Mytilus edulis: one gene and its partner. The protein of the gene in region 2 purifies or fractionates together with the protein of the main gene of each other region. This does not show direct contact. Links are inferred from orthologs where the notes say so. Each region holds a gene or a part of one and is shown on either strand. Other genes may lie near its edges.

The links. The genes of interacting proteins can lie anywhere in the genome.
Region 1: the proteins of serine/threonine-protein kinase LATS1-like (region 2) and Wilms tumor protein 1-interacting protein homolog purify together in Drosophila melanogaster (affinity purification with western blotting; 4 studies listed by BioGRID). This does not show direct contact. The link is inferred for Mytilus edulis from reciprocal best matches to the Drosophila melanogaster genes wts and jub.

What each region holds. Positions count from the first base shown.
Region 1 is NC_092348.1:6,307,268-6,314,629, forward strand, and holds the start of Wilms tumor protein 1-interacting protein homolog, read left to right. Parts: upstream 1-4,354; 5' UTR 4,355-4,617; coding exon 4,618-6,013; intron 6,014-7,362. UniProt on the Drosophila melanogaster protein: Regulates organ size by inhibiting apoptosis and promoting cell proliferation by influencing the expression of G1/S-specific cyclin-E (CycE) and apoptosis 1 inhibitor (th). Negatively regulates the Hippo signaling pathway.
Region 2 is NC_092353.1:65,163,516-65,171,255, forward strand, and holds the start of serine/threonine-protein kinase LATS1-like, read left to right. Parts: upstream 1-4,727; 5' UTR 4,728-5,042; exon of another isoform or gene 5,043-5,216; intron 5,217-7,740. UniProt on the Drosophila melanogaster protein: Negative regulator of Yorkie (Yki) in the Hippo/SWH (Sav/Wts/Hpo) signaling pathway that plays a pivotal role in organ size control and tumor suppression by restricting proliferation and promoting apoptosis.

The DNA.
Region 1 (7,362 bases), on a different chromosome or scaffold from region 2:
ACGGTAAAAGATCAAGAATAAATAAAAGAAGCAAACACGATTAACAAAACTAGAAATACAAATGAGTTAAACTTGTCAACTCATTATAGGAGTAATTCACCTCAGCTGACGATGTAAATACTGAAGATGAAGAGTAACTGTAGACGGCAACATTGGTCAGCAAGACAAGTTCTACAAATAGATAAGCAAAGCATAATACTTTCAAAATTACATAAAGGCCAGTTTATCAAAACCTTCCTGTGTTTTTAGCACATGGTTGTGTATGCCTGGCTTTTAAATAAAATGTACTAAACATCATTGTTAACAACGCTTCACTGAAGATGACTTGTCGTTCGATGATATTGTCAGTTTCACAATTTGAATACGTTTTGGCTTTTATCGTTCGTTTAGGTCGTGCTGGTATGACAAAATTGTCGGCTGGCAGAGCCGGCACCAGACCCCCAACCACCTTAAATCAGAATAAGACGGAGGCTGTGTCTTCTTTCTTCTTGCGTCTCTATTTCAAGTTGTCGTCTCATGTTTGTTATGGACCCTGTTTCTCGACTCCTGTAATTTTTCTTGATGAATCGTATGCCTCTGATTTGGATACGTTCTAATTTGTCAATATCCCCTTTCATATATGGGTTCCAGATTGTTGCGCCATATTCCATTGTCGATCTTACTAGGGATATGTATGCCACTTTCCTACATGCCTCTGGTACGTTCCTCAAGTTCCTCCTAAGAAAGCCCAAGGTGGAATTGGCTTTCTTGCTGATGTTGTTTATGTGGAAACTCCATTTCAGGTCGTTTGAGATTTGGAGTCCCAAGTACGGGTTCACTTGTACCTCTTGTAGGATGTGTTTGTTAAGCGTGTAGAATTTGTCTGTTTTTTGTTTATGGATAGAATATAGCCCTTTTTGGCATTGAAACGCATTCCCCATTTGTCGGCCCAGATTTCTAGTTGTTCCAGATCTGTTTGTAGTTTTTGTTGGTCTTGGCTATTTTTAATTGTTCTGTATAGTAGGCAATCGTCAGCAAATAGTCTTACTGATGATGTTACACTGTCTGGTAGGTCATTGGTGTGGCACAGGAACAGGATTGGTCCTAAGACTGTGCCCTGGGGGACCCCAGAGTCAACTGTTGTTTCGCTAGATGGTTCGCATTGATCTTGCAGTTAGGAAGTTCTTAAGCCATTTGTGATCTGGTCTTAGGCACTTTGTAAAAAATCCGCGCTCTGAATCAAACATTGCTTATTTATCCGTCTGCTGAAACCGACATTATAAAGTTTCCTCATATTTTTATGGACAATTTATTTGTTACGTTTTGGGAGGTGTTGCTCATTAAATAATCGGCATTCCCTGTGAATAAATTGTGCTCCTCTTCAGTATTGCCGATTCATTCCTTTATAAGGTATCTTGTACCTCCCTATATAGGTGTATGTACCTATTTTTAACTTGCATGGTGTGTCTCTATTTGAATTACTTTAATATAATATTTGTCTTCGAAATCAGTTTTATTCGCAGAAAATAAACAAGAAGTTTACCCTTATCTCATTGAAGTATGTATACCCTTTTACGTTCAATATGGTAACTAAATATATTACACGAATAATACTTTTTATATTTATAGGTTTGTGGTTACAAAGTTTATACTGGTAAGCCATGTGATTATATGAATCACGTACATCGTTGCATTGCAAATATATTCATCAATAAATAAACCATCTTTTGTGTTTTTTAGCACAAGAGCATACTTATACATTGTCAATAATTTATAATATATGGGAAGTATTTATTATTCATACATTACCACAAGACTACGTGTTTTCCGTCAAAATAACACTGAGAACGAAATTTGTGTTTTCTTCTACTAATACAATAAAATTGAGAATAGAAAAGGCGAATGTATCAAAGAGACACCAATCGGACTAAGACCAATGGGTCATCAATGCAGCGAGTAAATCTCGAACCCGGAGGCGTGCTTCAGCTGGCCCCTAATCAAAAAAGTATCATAGTTGAGTGATAATGGACGTCATACTTAACTCCGAAATATATAAAAAAAAAAACTAAAAAAAAAAAAAAAACTAAAATTTAAAATCATACAAGACTTAAACAAAGGCCAGAGGCTCCCGACTTGGGACAAAATGCGGCAGGTTTAACATTTTTTTTTTAGACCTCAACCCTCCCCCTATGTATATCATTTGAGTACATTTCACCATTATTTCGTAAATTGACGCATCCGCCATGAGACAGTTGAAAACATAAAACTCCTATATTCCACTACATACATCAAAGCAGCTGTTTATATTACATTAAAAGAGCTCACAGTAGGAGCACTTTGTCAGATCGAGAACTTTCATATCTGACTACAGAGTATGCGATTTGCTTATTGTTGAAGGTCATACCTTTAATGAATAATAAGACATAAGACATAAAGCTTTTTATAGAGATGGTATATACATTACAAGTACAAACATAAGCTCTGAAGAACTTTTTAAACCGAGCTATTACACTGGTGGATAGTTGTCTCGTTGGTAATCATACCACATCTCTTTATTTTTGGTTATAAATAACAATATTGGACATTCACTTAAACAAAAACAATTAAGTACAACGTAAAAAGAACTTGAATGTATATTAATACATATATAAATATTCATTAATATTGGTTCAATTGTCATATAAATGCCTTGATTATGAGACACTATGTTTTCAAAACGCTAGGCATTGTTGTTACTTTGAACAAGTTTTCGCTTGTGGAATCTTGTCTCCATAATTTCTGTATTCTTTATTTTTCTAAGGTAATTCTCTTTATCTTTAGAAATAACGCTTAGTATGTATCTTCATAAAATCATTTTACTATCACATTTTCTGTAATAAGATGAATTATTCATTCTGTGCATAGTTCATTTCTGTAATCGGTATCATAAGGGACATATAATACAAATGTATTACATGTCTCTGGTATCATATTACTTTTTTTGTTAATTTTCCCTAATTGGTTTTTTGCTGAATTTTGTCATACATTGCAACTTATAACAATACAGAAACAGGTCCACAATAAGTGGTGCACTGTTAGTTCCCATTGGAACTCCGATAACTTGACGATATACTGAATCTCCATAAGGCGAATAGAAATGTTATTTAGCAAAAATTTAAGGGCAGTTATAGTATCAAAACAGTTCCAATTGACATAGTTCTTTTGTTTGTTGTTACTAAAAAAAATGACAAAAAAGGTACGCATTCTGACTTTTCAATGACCATTTAATTATATGTGTTTTTTTTAAATAAGATAATAAAGTAAAGTGGTATATAGAGTAGAAAATTAAAAATTTGAACAGATTCGAAGTCACCAAAATAAGCATGCAAATTATCAAATACTTCCAACCAATTTTTGACACTCCCAAAGGTAATTATTTCAACAATTTTCAAATGTCTTATTTGAACTGTGACCACAATTTCTAAAATTTCCCGGGTTAAACTATCGTAAGAAGTCTTCTGAGAGATCTTTCCTGCACTTATTCCTTTTCAAAAGATTTTTTCCCGCTTCGGTTGCAACTTGGGCCAAATGGACACTGAATAGTTGAAATTTGATAGAATGACAGAATAGTAGGATGTTAACCTGTCCAGCTGGATGAAATGTTTATCCATTCGTTTTAGAATACTGACATATTTTGTCTTGATGCCTTTTTTACATATTTCCGGTCAACCTCGACCACAATATTTAAAGTCTCAGAAATAAGTAGCCTGGCATGAATCCATGCCGTATTATACTATATCCTCAAACTTCAACAAAGAAACGGACGTAATTAACGAACGAGTTTAAATTGTAATATGACATATTGTGTCAAATGTAACTTATAATAATCAAAATGTAAAAAGGAGGCAAAAACAAAAGACAACATCACACTGGAAAAGGAAAATTAACATTAAAGAACGAACAATCGACTCATTCAATTGTCGTAAAGTTTTTGCACAGTTTTCTAGATCTGTGTGCAAGTAAAGTTATAACTACAACATGAAATTTATTAATAAAGAAAGAATCTGAAATTAATAAAAAAAATATTTGCAATAGACAAAGACATATATGTATTATACTCTGCTGTAGCTAAGTATTCGCAATTATTCCTGTAAATTCCTATTTTGTAGCGCGGACCTTAAAGAGGACACCTCTACATTAAAAAACATAACTGTAAATCGCAGGTACTTCCGCGTTAAGACCACAACAAGTTCCAATGGAATGTGTGAGATTGTGATTAATTTAAAAGATACTGGACTCACAAATTGATAAACTAAGCTGAGTTTGATATGTTAATGCTCAATGCGTATAATAAAGATAACCAAATATGTCTAGAAAGTAACAAACGTGTTGGTTTAACATATCACTCCGCAATACCGCCATTGTTACAAAGAAAACACAAAGTTATGTGTATTCGCTATCTAAGGAATGTGTGTAAAATTAATTAATGGAATTTATGAGATTGACATTAAAGTGTGGAACAAGATGGATTTTATTTGAATAATTAGGATATAAACAATGGTAAAATATTGAAGAATTGATCATTTTGAATTATTTTTGGGTAAATATCAGCGTGTGAAACACATTCCTGTGTGTGGACCGTATCAAAACAATACATTAATGATAATGGCCAATCTACAGTCATTAGAGCAGGAGACTGCACGAATCAGAATGATGCAGAGTCATAAGTCTTCACCAGCAAATCTAATATCAAATTCAGATAGATATCTTAAATTTGAAAGCTTAACACAACAAAACAAATTGCCACCAAAACCTGGGGGTCAGATTGAGGGTCAAGTTGAACAAGGACATCAAATGAATCCTGGAAATATTAATGAAATGAATAGAAGTATTTACATTTCTCGTCAAGCATATCCAGCACCTAGTCATGAATACATGTTGAATCAACACTTCTCTCAAAATATGACAGTCACTAACAACCCACATGTAATGGCAAATTCTCAACACAATTTGAATTACAAGGTTGTGAAGCAGGGTACGGATCATTATAATTCCACATTGAATTACAGCAGTGGTGGAGACTCAAAGAATTCCAGTCCGAGGACTAGTATGATTAACTCCCACCCTCCACCACCATATGATCAACAGAAATTTGGAAGTCCTAGATCAAGTTTAGCGAGTCCACGTTCAAGCATTAGTGGCGCCTCATTGGAAAGTAAACATTCAAGCCCAAGAACAAGTTTAGCGGGAATGTCTGGTGTGATGTATGACAAATTTCCTAGTCCGCGAACGAGTGTTGTGTTGTCACAGGATCATGGAGTACCTAATTCATATGGACATACTTTTTATCAAGGTGTTCCACAAAATGTTGCACATCGGAATATGTCTTTAATGAATGAAAGTAGATTTAATGAACATGCTCCTCCACATATTCAACATCATGTGCCTGGTGTTCATATGACAAATAATAATAATGAAATAATTTATCAACATAGACAACATTCGTCATCTCCACATAATAGTGTTTCTAATCTTACTGGAATACAAAACGAGTCCCATATAGGACAGTCCCAAACGTTTACACCTCCACCTGCAATACCTGCACGAGTTCCAATTCACCAGAATGGTATTCATCAAAATCATTTGGATGCTGAACAAACTTTGGCAACATTAACTCAACAGTTGCAGGACAATATGAGAATAACAACGTCTCGTAAGAATTCTTTAGAATCACCAGTACCTAAAAATCCACCTCCTCCATATCATGGTCCTCATAAAACTGAACCTGTGCCAGTTATACCACCGAGAAATCCACGTTATACACAGACATCACAACCTACTTCCCAACAGAGAATGTTTGCTCCGGGGGTGGTGTCACAGTCGTCTGGTCACATTGGGCGTACACCACCGTCAGCAGCAGTTCGTCCTCAAGCTCAATTACCTTACAGTGTAACACCACCTTCAAAAGGTCCCACAGAAGCAGAGAAAAAAATAGCAGCATTAACTCAACAGTTAGAGGATGAATTTGAAAAGACACCACAGGGTGAATATTTTGGTGAGTTTTCATTGCTTTGTGTATGCAAACATAGTTAGTTTTCAATTGATCTAATCTGAAGTTGAGTTGTTTTCCTTGCCACCTCTAGCTTGTTGTGGTTGAATGTACAACAAAAAAAATCAACTGCATTAAACTTTATATGCAAAACAAATTGAAGTACAGACTCCTTCCTGACTTGGCCCTGGCAGGCACAAAAGAATGTGGTGACATTAAACTTGTACATGATTTTGAGAACTAAACACAGTAAGCAATGCTAAGCCTTCCTATGAACCTGGAACAGTGATGACACAGCACATAACTAATGAACAAACTGTCAAATTCAGTCGGTAATTGCTTATACATACATTTACATGTACATGTAATTTATAAGCCATTTTTAGCTCACCTGGCCTAAAAGGCCATGTGAGCTTTTCTCATCACTTGGCGTCCGTCGTCGTCGTCGTCGTCGTCGTCGTCGTCTGTCGTCGTTAACAATTTTTCAAACATCTTCTCCTCTGAAACTACTGAATGGATTTGAATGAAACTTTACATGATTGTTCCTTAGTATATCCTGCACAAAATGTGCGCTTCGATTTTTGATCCGTCAAAAAACATGGCCGCCGTTACTTAAAATAGAACATAGGGGTCAAATGCAGTTTTTGGCTTATATCTCAAAAACGAAAGCATTTAGAGCAAATCTGACATGGGGTAAAAATGTTCATTAGGTCAAGATCTATCAGCCCTGAAATTTTCAGATGAATCAAACAAACCATTGTTGGGTTGCTGCCACTTAATTGGTAATTTTAAGGAAATTTTGCAGTTTTTGGTCATTATCTTGAATATTATTATAGATAAAGATAAACTGTAAACAGCAAAAAAGATCAGCAAAGTAAGATCTACAAATAAGTTAATATGACCAAAATTGTCAATTGACCCCTTAAGGGGTTATTGTCCTTTAATGACAATTTTTCACAATTTGTTCATCATATTTGCTAACTTTAAAAAATCTTCTCCTCTGAAACTACTGAATGGATTTGGTTAAAACTTAGCATGGTTGTTCCTTAGATTATCCTGCACAAAGTGTGTGCTTTGATTTTTGATCCGTCAAAAAACATGGCCGCCATTACTTAAAATAGAACATAGGGGTCAAATGCAGTTTTTGGCTTATATCTCAAAAACGAAAGCATTAAGAGCAAATCTGACAGGAGTAAAAATGTTCATTAGGTCAATATCTATCAGCCCTGAAATTTTCAGATGAATCAAACATCCAATTGTTGGGTTGCTGCCACTTAATTGGTAATTTTAAGGAAATTTTGCAGTTTTTGGTCATTATCTTGAATATTATTATAGATAAAGATAAACTGTAAACA
Region 2 (7,740 bases):
AAGTTGGGAAACAGGTTTGAGAACTTCCCCACAGATAATAATTGAAGTGAGCTATTTTGATTGACATGGACAATAGATGGACAATAGATACCTGACAATAATTGGTTATTTAAACTGTGTACCTGAGTGGACCGTATCAAGAGAAACTTTTGACTGTTTGTTAATTTTATCATCTTCTGCAGGGACGAAAAAAAGTGCACGGCTCAATCCAGTTAAGGAACCAAGACCTTGCATTCTGGCAATTTATCTTACACACACATGAAGTTTTCCAAAACAATTGTTTTCAACATGTTCAAGGAAATTAATACAAATGGACATTTAAATTCAGCATAACAGAAATGACATCATTGACAACACATATCCAGTGAAAGTGTGTGTTTAAATGAAGGCCCGTTTCGAATAATGATCAGTTCTGGAGGATGCTAGGCTTATTATTGAAAGTAAGGGCCAATGAATCCATGCCCATGGACATGATGGTAAATGGTTTTTCAAGAGAACAAACTGCAAACATGGACCTATAGAGAATAATATCCCTACGGCAATTTATTCTGAGGAAATTGTTTAAGTTGTCCACCCTCAGAACCCAACAAGGGACTAAATTATTTATACTTTAGTTGTCATGGTAAATGTACCCTATCATCACCAGCTGCATACCAACCATCACCCCAAACTCAGGTCAAATAATAACACAATTATCCTTCCTTATTTATGCCATGTCATCATACAGTAACCGCTAATTTTGGGGTTACTTACAATCCAGATGTTTTTTCTTTGGCCCCATGACTTCTTCTGTAGTCGCTTTACATACAACCTTGGCCAACCCTTGGCCCGAGAGGCTGTGTTTAGCCGCAGTCATGCGATCTAAAATACTCTGTCCTGACATTTTGACTAACTATATGGTTAGAACACTCAGGAGTCACCAAGGGTCTTCTCTGACCCAAATGAGTGTGTTGAAATGCTCTAAATACACAAAAAGGGGTGGATACGGCGACCAATAATATTCAAGATGGCTGTTTCATTAATCAATCTCCGAAACAGAGGCGATCGGATTTTTTTGTTACACTAAGTTTACGCCGGTTTACTACAAAAATTATTAGCTTTTTTAAAAGCTCGGCAAAATGTACTGTTCTTTATAGGCACTGCTACGATTACATGAAACTGCAACAATCATAAAAAATAAATGCTCCGCAGAGCGCAGCTGGATACGACCGAAGTTCAAGCCTGAACAGTTGGGGTCGCAAAAATAGACGCAATATACAAGCTTGATATCTGACATACAAGTCTGAATTTGGATTGTAAATTAATGTGTTTGGATTACCTCCCTTACACTGCTTTTAGATCAAGACAACAGTAGTATACCGCTGTTTGAAACTCATAAATCGTCGATTGAGAAAAAAAATCCCTCTTACAACTTGAACTAAAGCTGAGGGAATATAGTTATCAAAAGTACCAGGAAACCATTAACGAGGAAACCCTTGTTTTTCCTCTCTTTTGCCCCTAATGCCTAACCAGTTTGAGCCATAATCCCCAAAGTAAGCCTAAGCATCCCTTTGTGGTATGGAAACTTGTGGTATAATTTCAGAGTGATCCATACACCGTTCCAAAAGTTGTTGTCTGGAAACTAGAAAAAAGCATATTTGTGGCCCCTTTTCAACCCCTGATTTCTATACTGTTCGGTCTTTAAATGTCACAGTATCCGATGTGATTCAATGAATCTAAATTCTTAAGAATTTTAAAATTCTCTTCTCTTGTTTTTGATTATTTTGCCAGATATTCGGAATCCTCCAGTTTCATTCATAAAACGCCATTAAAAGTTATGCTCAATTACCCACATCTTTTTTCGCAATTTTAGTGCATATATCTAAAAAAGACATATTTTCCAAACTTTTGATTTTTTTGGATTTTTTTAATGGTGCCAATATTCTATGTAGGAACAATCTAGAGAGAATCATTTCTCGCCAAATTTTCGATACCTTATATCTCGAAAAAAAAAGGTTGTTATTTTGAAACAGAGTAGTGAGCATTCTCAAGTAGATGATTAGTATTACTAGTACCAACCGTGCAAGGGCTGTATAGCCAGTCAAGGTCGTTAAAAGCTTTCATTTGTTACTAATATGATGATTCAGTCATGGGGTAATGCAAATTTGTAATTGTAATGCAAGGTAATGAATTCCCTTTCAAAGTAAAAGTATGTAATGTGTTATATTAATGCAGCAATTTTATTATATGTGAATATAGCGCAAAATTAGAGAAACAGATTCACCACAAACCTCGTGTATTATGATATTTATCCATATCAACAGTTAAATCTTAATTATCCGTTAAAAAGCTCGGCAAGTATCGCACTTTAAGGTGGTATGGGAGTCTAAATTAAAAATGATAGAATTTGTTCATGCTAAAACATAGCATTTATCGATATGTTCAAAAATATAATAAAAAGGCGGTGGCTATTTTGCCGGCTCCGGCAAAATGGCTGTTTATAAAGAATTTTGCTATTTTGCCGGTCTTAATAAAGAGTAAAATAGAAGTACATGTATAGAAATAAAGAGAAACATACACTTCAATAAGAAATTTCCATACAACTATGTCAGTCTTCTTTATACATATATAAATACAAATCGTGCATATTAAATTTGATATTCTGTACAGTCTTTTTAAAACATTTTAAAAGTAAACGCATTAAAATTGATACAAGTACTTTTTTTCTTCGATAGAAGCTATTTTAAAATAAAATCTTTAAAAAAAATATACAATACCAGAGAAATATAGAATATACGTCTCTGATAATATACATAAGAGAAGCATACGAACCCATGTAAAAAAATCGACATTCTGATACAAACTTATAAAAATATCCTTTTAGTTTTGATACAAAAAGTAACACCCAACAACTCAAACTGCTTAACGAGAGTTACAAAACCAGTGTCTTGCTTCTTGGTGGTTTTTTTTTCTAAGTCTGGCACCATAAAGGTGCTGCCACTTCAAACATGAAGTTAACATAATACTTCAACGATTTTTTTGCGTCAGCATCACTTATGCAAAATTTGCTCGGTTATACATTTCAGTATTCAAAATTCATAGAATAAATGCTGTTTGAATAGCTAGATTTCTATGCATTGTGTGTACAATATTTGTGTGTTTATTTTATAATACTTTATTGCACCATAGACAATACATTAATTATTATTAAAGTTTTGTCTGGTTTTCATGAATTTTATAGTCGATGTTTCACGTTTCAAAGTACTCCAAAACCGGCTTAAACTCTTCATATCAATTTGAAAATCAAGTTTGTTTGATAACAAATTTTCCATTTTCGAACGTTCAATGTTCAACAGAAATTAACGTATGTATAAAAAAAAACCGGAAAATTTGGTAGGATTTCCAATCAGACAACTCACCGCAAGAGACCAAATGACACGGAAATTAACTACTATACGTCACGTACGGCCTTCAACAATGACAAAAGCCGCTTAATCAGGCGTCTATAAAAATAACATGTATACATCTCACAAAAACACAGTACATGTAATTAAATGAGTGCAGTTCACCAAAATTGATTATGACTAGGAAGGCAAGGCGAACAAAAAGTTTATTAATTGACATTTAGCCACATATAAATTTTGTACATGAATAGTTTCCCTTAAAAATATATTTCATATAGTCTTGCCATGATTAAAAATCTGAAATAAGACCGGTAATTTAGTGGTTGTCTTTTGTTTATGTGTTGCATATTTGTTTTTCGTTCATTTTTTATATAAATAATGCCGTTAGTTTTCTCGTTTGAACTGTTTTACATTGTCATATCGGGGCCTTTTATAGCTGACTATGCGGCATGGACTTTGCTTATTGTTGAAGGCCGTACGGTGACCTATAGTTGTTAATGTCTGTGTCATTTTGGTCTCTTGTGACCAGTTGTCTCATTGGCTATCATACTTCATCTTATTTTTTATAAAATAGAAAAACTCTATATTATAAATCGCTAGCTATTTCGACGGCACCGGCAAATAGCATCTTAAAGTCACCGTACATTTTCTCAAGCTACAGGATGTGACAAATGGCAAATTTTGTATGGATTATACAGGAAAAAAACACCCGATTATGTGATTAGAAGCTAAACTAAGAATTGTAAATAAAATACGAGATATTTTTAAGAAAATGCATCGAGAATATCAAAAGAGAAGATAGGGTCACCGTGTGTATTTTTAAGCTAAATTACAAAATAACTAAATTCCACAGTAAAGATTTCCTCAGAAAATGCACCATTGTAGAGTTATCTCCCCTTTAAAATGCCTATTTCAAATCATTAAAAATCTAGCAAAAAATAATCTACACTTTCAAAATTATTAATATTAATAATCTTATAAATGTGTTCTTTCAAATGCAAATTCACATAAGTTATCGGCATTCTTGCATTAAATTTTGCTAATTTGTTTGAAAATCTGGACCTTAGATTTTTGTTTTTTTTCCAATCCAAGTTGTCGAAAGACACCCATATCAGTTACATACCGGCCGGGAGTAATTCATACCTAAGAAGAAGATCCCGGCGGGCACATTTTTATACAACCAGATAAAAACATATATTAACTCCCTTTCAATGAACGGGATGCCGAAAAGAGAGAGAAATGCACAGTGCCCCCGTGGAAATGCTATTCGCAACACGATTTACACACATAACACACGTGGTTAATTTTTGTACGAAAGTCACGTGAAAATAATGGAATGTCAACAATGCTGTAAAAAGGGCGTACCTCTGTCAATCAAATAGCTTGATGGAAAAGTCCATAAATGAAATATCAGAAGGTAGAGCGGCATGAATTTTATCAATTGGAGATTACTTGCTCCTAAGATAAATAATTTATTACTTATATTTCTTACAGTTCAAAATATCATATGTTCTGCTAAAATATAAATTTACTCGTCCATAGTTAATTTTAAGAATAAAGATGTAGGTCAAACAACCTGCTACGGAATTTGTGTTTCTTAGACTCGTCCATTTTGGATAGTGGCCGTATTCAGTGCCAGATTTCGACAGAGATTCTTGGGTGAGTGTTATTTGTTTTGCTGCTTGTGTCACCAGAAACAAGTAAAATGAAAATGAAACTACACATTTTAAAAAAAGTAACGAACTTTATTTACTAGAAGTTACAAATTTTGATATGGGACTAGATGCATCCGAACAACATGGCGGATACCAAAAAGGTGTTAAAAACCAACAGGTTAAAGTATATTGTCGTTTACCTATTTTTTATCAGATAATAAAATATCAAAAACAAGAATATATGAGGAACAGTTGATTACACCACAGCAAAACGACTGATTGTATTTTGAGAAAGTTGTCCAGAAAGACTGCTTAATATTCTTCAAATATTTACATTTTTATTGACATTGTATAAATACCTATTAATTTAAGTATCATATATACTGTTTAAGTACAATGTACCATGCAGTAACAAACAGGCACATTACATATTTTGTTATTTTTATCATGCAGTGTTCCCAAACATTTGGTTATTATCAAGCAGTTAAGTTGCCAATTTTCATCAGCTGGTACATGTATTTTATGCAATTATTTTCTATTGATGAGGGGGCCTCGTTTGCCAAAGTCGAAGTCGTAGTCGTACTACTGCAATCACTAGCCAGTCAACACTAAGGTTGTGAGTTCGACCCCACTTGTGCGGGTGTACTCTACTCCAATCTTAATTGACTAGGATTGTCAGTTTTCCTATCGAAGGTCAGTGGTTTTCACCAGACACTCCGGCTTCTTCCACCAATAAAATCTGGCTGCCATGAAATAGCCTAAATGTGGTGCTTAATAGTGGTGTTTAACACCAAAAATCAAATCAAATCTATAGTTGAGTATTAATATATTTATATATAGTGGATTTGGGTATCTTGTTATTTCAACTTATTAATCCCTTTTCACTTTGCTCATGTTGCTGGTGCAAGTGTTGCTTTGTAATGGCATTAGCCTGCTCTTTTTATCAGATCTATAAGTAACAAGGGTGTACATGTCTTATACATGCAAGAGATATATTGGTCTTTCTTACTTATTGATGAATATTCAGTTTTTAGTTGAATATTAAGAAGATGTGGTAAGAGTGCCAATGAGACAACTTTCCATCCAAGTCACATTTTGTAGAAGTAAATCATTAATGGTCAAAGTACAGTCTTCAACACAAAACCTTGGCTCACACCAAACAGTAAGCTATAAATTCCCCAAAATGACTAGTGTACAATGGTGTACATGTTGTACATCATGTACATGTTAAACCTTTCAAATTGGTAAACCAACGGTCTAACCTACATGTATATGGTTCTAACCTATATGAGAAACGAGAAACACTTATGAACCACATCAACAAATGACAACCACTGAACATCAGGTCATGATCAGTATAACAATCATAAAATTGAGAATGGAAATGGGGAATGTGCCAAAGAGACAATCGTATACATGTACCAGAAAATATTTACCTCATATTATGTTTTTAAAGTCTATTCCATACATAAGAATAACAAGAGCATGTACATATTTGTATATGAAAGTGGCTCACTACCACATCGTTGCTGAATGCAAGCTTTATTATATATGCCATCATTCATAAATACCATATGAGAATAAAGAGATGTTGTATGAATGCCAATGAGAAAATGGCCCTTAAAGAAATGACTATCTCACTTAGCAGTACCTGAAAGGGCTGGTCAGTGACTTGAAGAGGCGACCTCTTTAGTGTCTAGGTGACCAGATTTTATAGAAAACTAAGCATGTGGGAGATTACATTTCAATTCTTCTAAAAGTCATGTTTTAATCATCAGAATATAAAAATCCTTGTTGTCTTCTCCTGTGGACAGACTTGGTTAACTTGGCCCAGGACTTTTCTGACTGTAAATTAGACTTCTAGGATCATTATCTTCCTATTATGCCCCAGTTTATTCTGGGTAGATTTGTCAAGTACTCTACCAAAAGTATTTGTAATAACCGTTACATTAGGTCATGATGAACACACAGGACAATGATCATGATGATAACAAAATTGATGAATAAAATATAGCAGGGGTCATAATAAGGCACAGCTAGAATAAATAAAACCAGGACTTAGGATGACTATTCGGGTGACCAGGATTACTGCTTAGAGCAGATCTGTGTTTTCTGAGCAATATAAATAAATATTTTGACTTGCACAGAATCATTCAGTAGTTCTGAAATTTTAATGGTACAAAACATATATCAAGACCGGGCAGCCAAAATAAAAATATAAAAATAAGTATAAAATTAAAGCAGTAACTTAATCAGTGTTGTATTCTCATTAAGGGTAGCAGTAAAATATTGAATTGATTACTAAATAAGAAATCAGGACAGCCCTTTATTTAAACCATGAAGGAATCAGAAACAAAACCACTATTGACATTTTCTCTAATATATCATGCTAGCAGTACTGCACAATTTGCACACCCTTTCTTGTAGTTTGATTTTATTTTAGCACCAATAGAAATAAAAAATCTGTCTTATGTTTAGAGCAATTATAAAATTGTTTTTGTCAATATTTCTTATTTGAAAAGGTGAACAATGATTTAAATGGCATAAATTGTATACAAGTAATGCATATTTTTGTATCAATACCTTAAACAATGTTATTACAGTAAATAAAACAAAATGTGTTTTGCTATATTTTATGAAAAAGATCAAGAATATTTTTTGATTTTATAGGTTTGCTCAAGTCTGCATACAAGCCTATATAG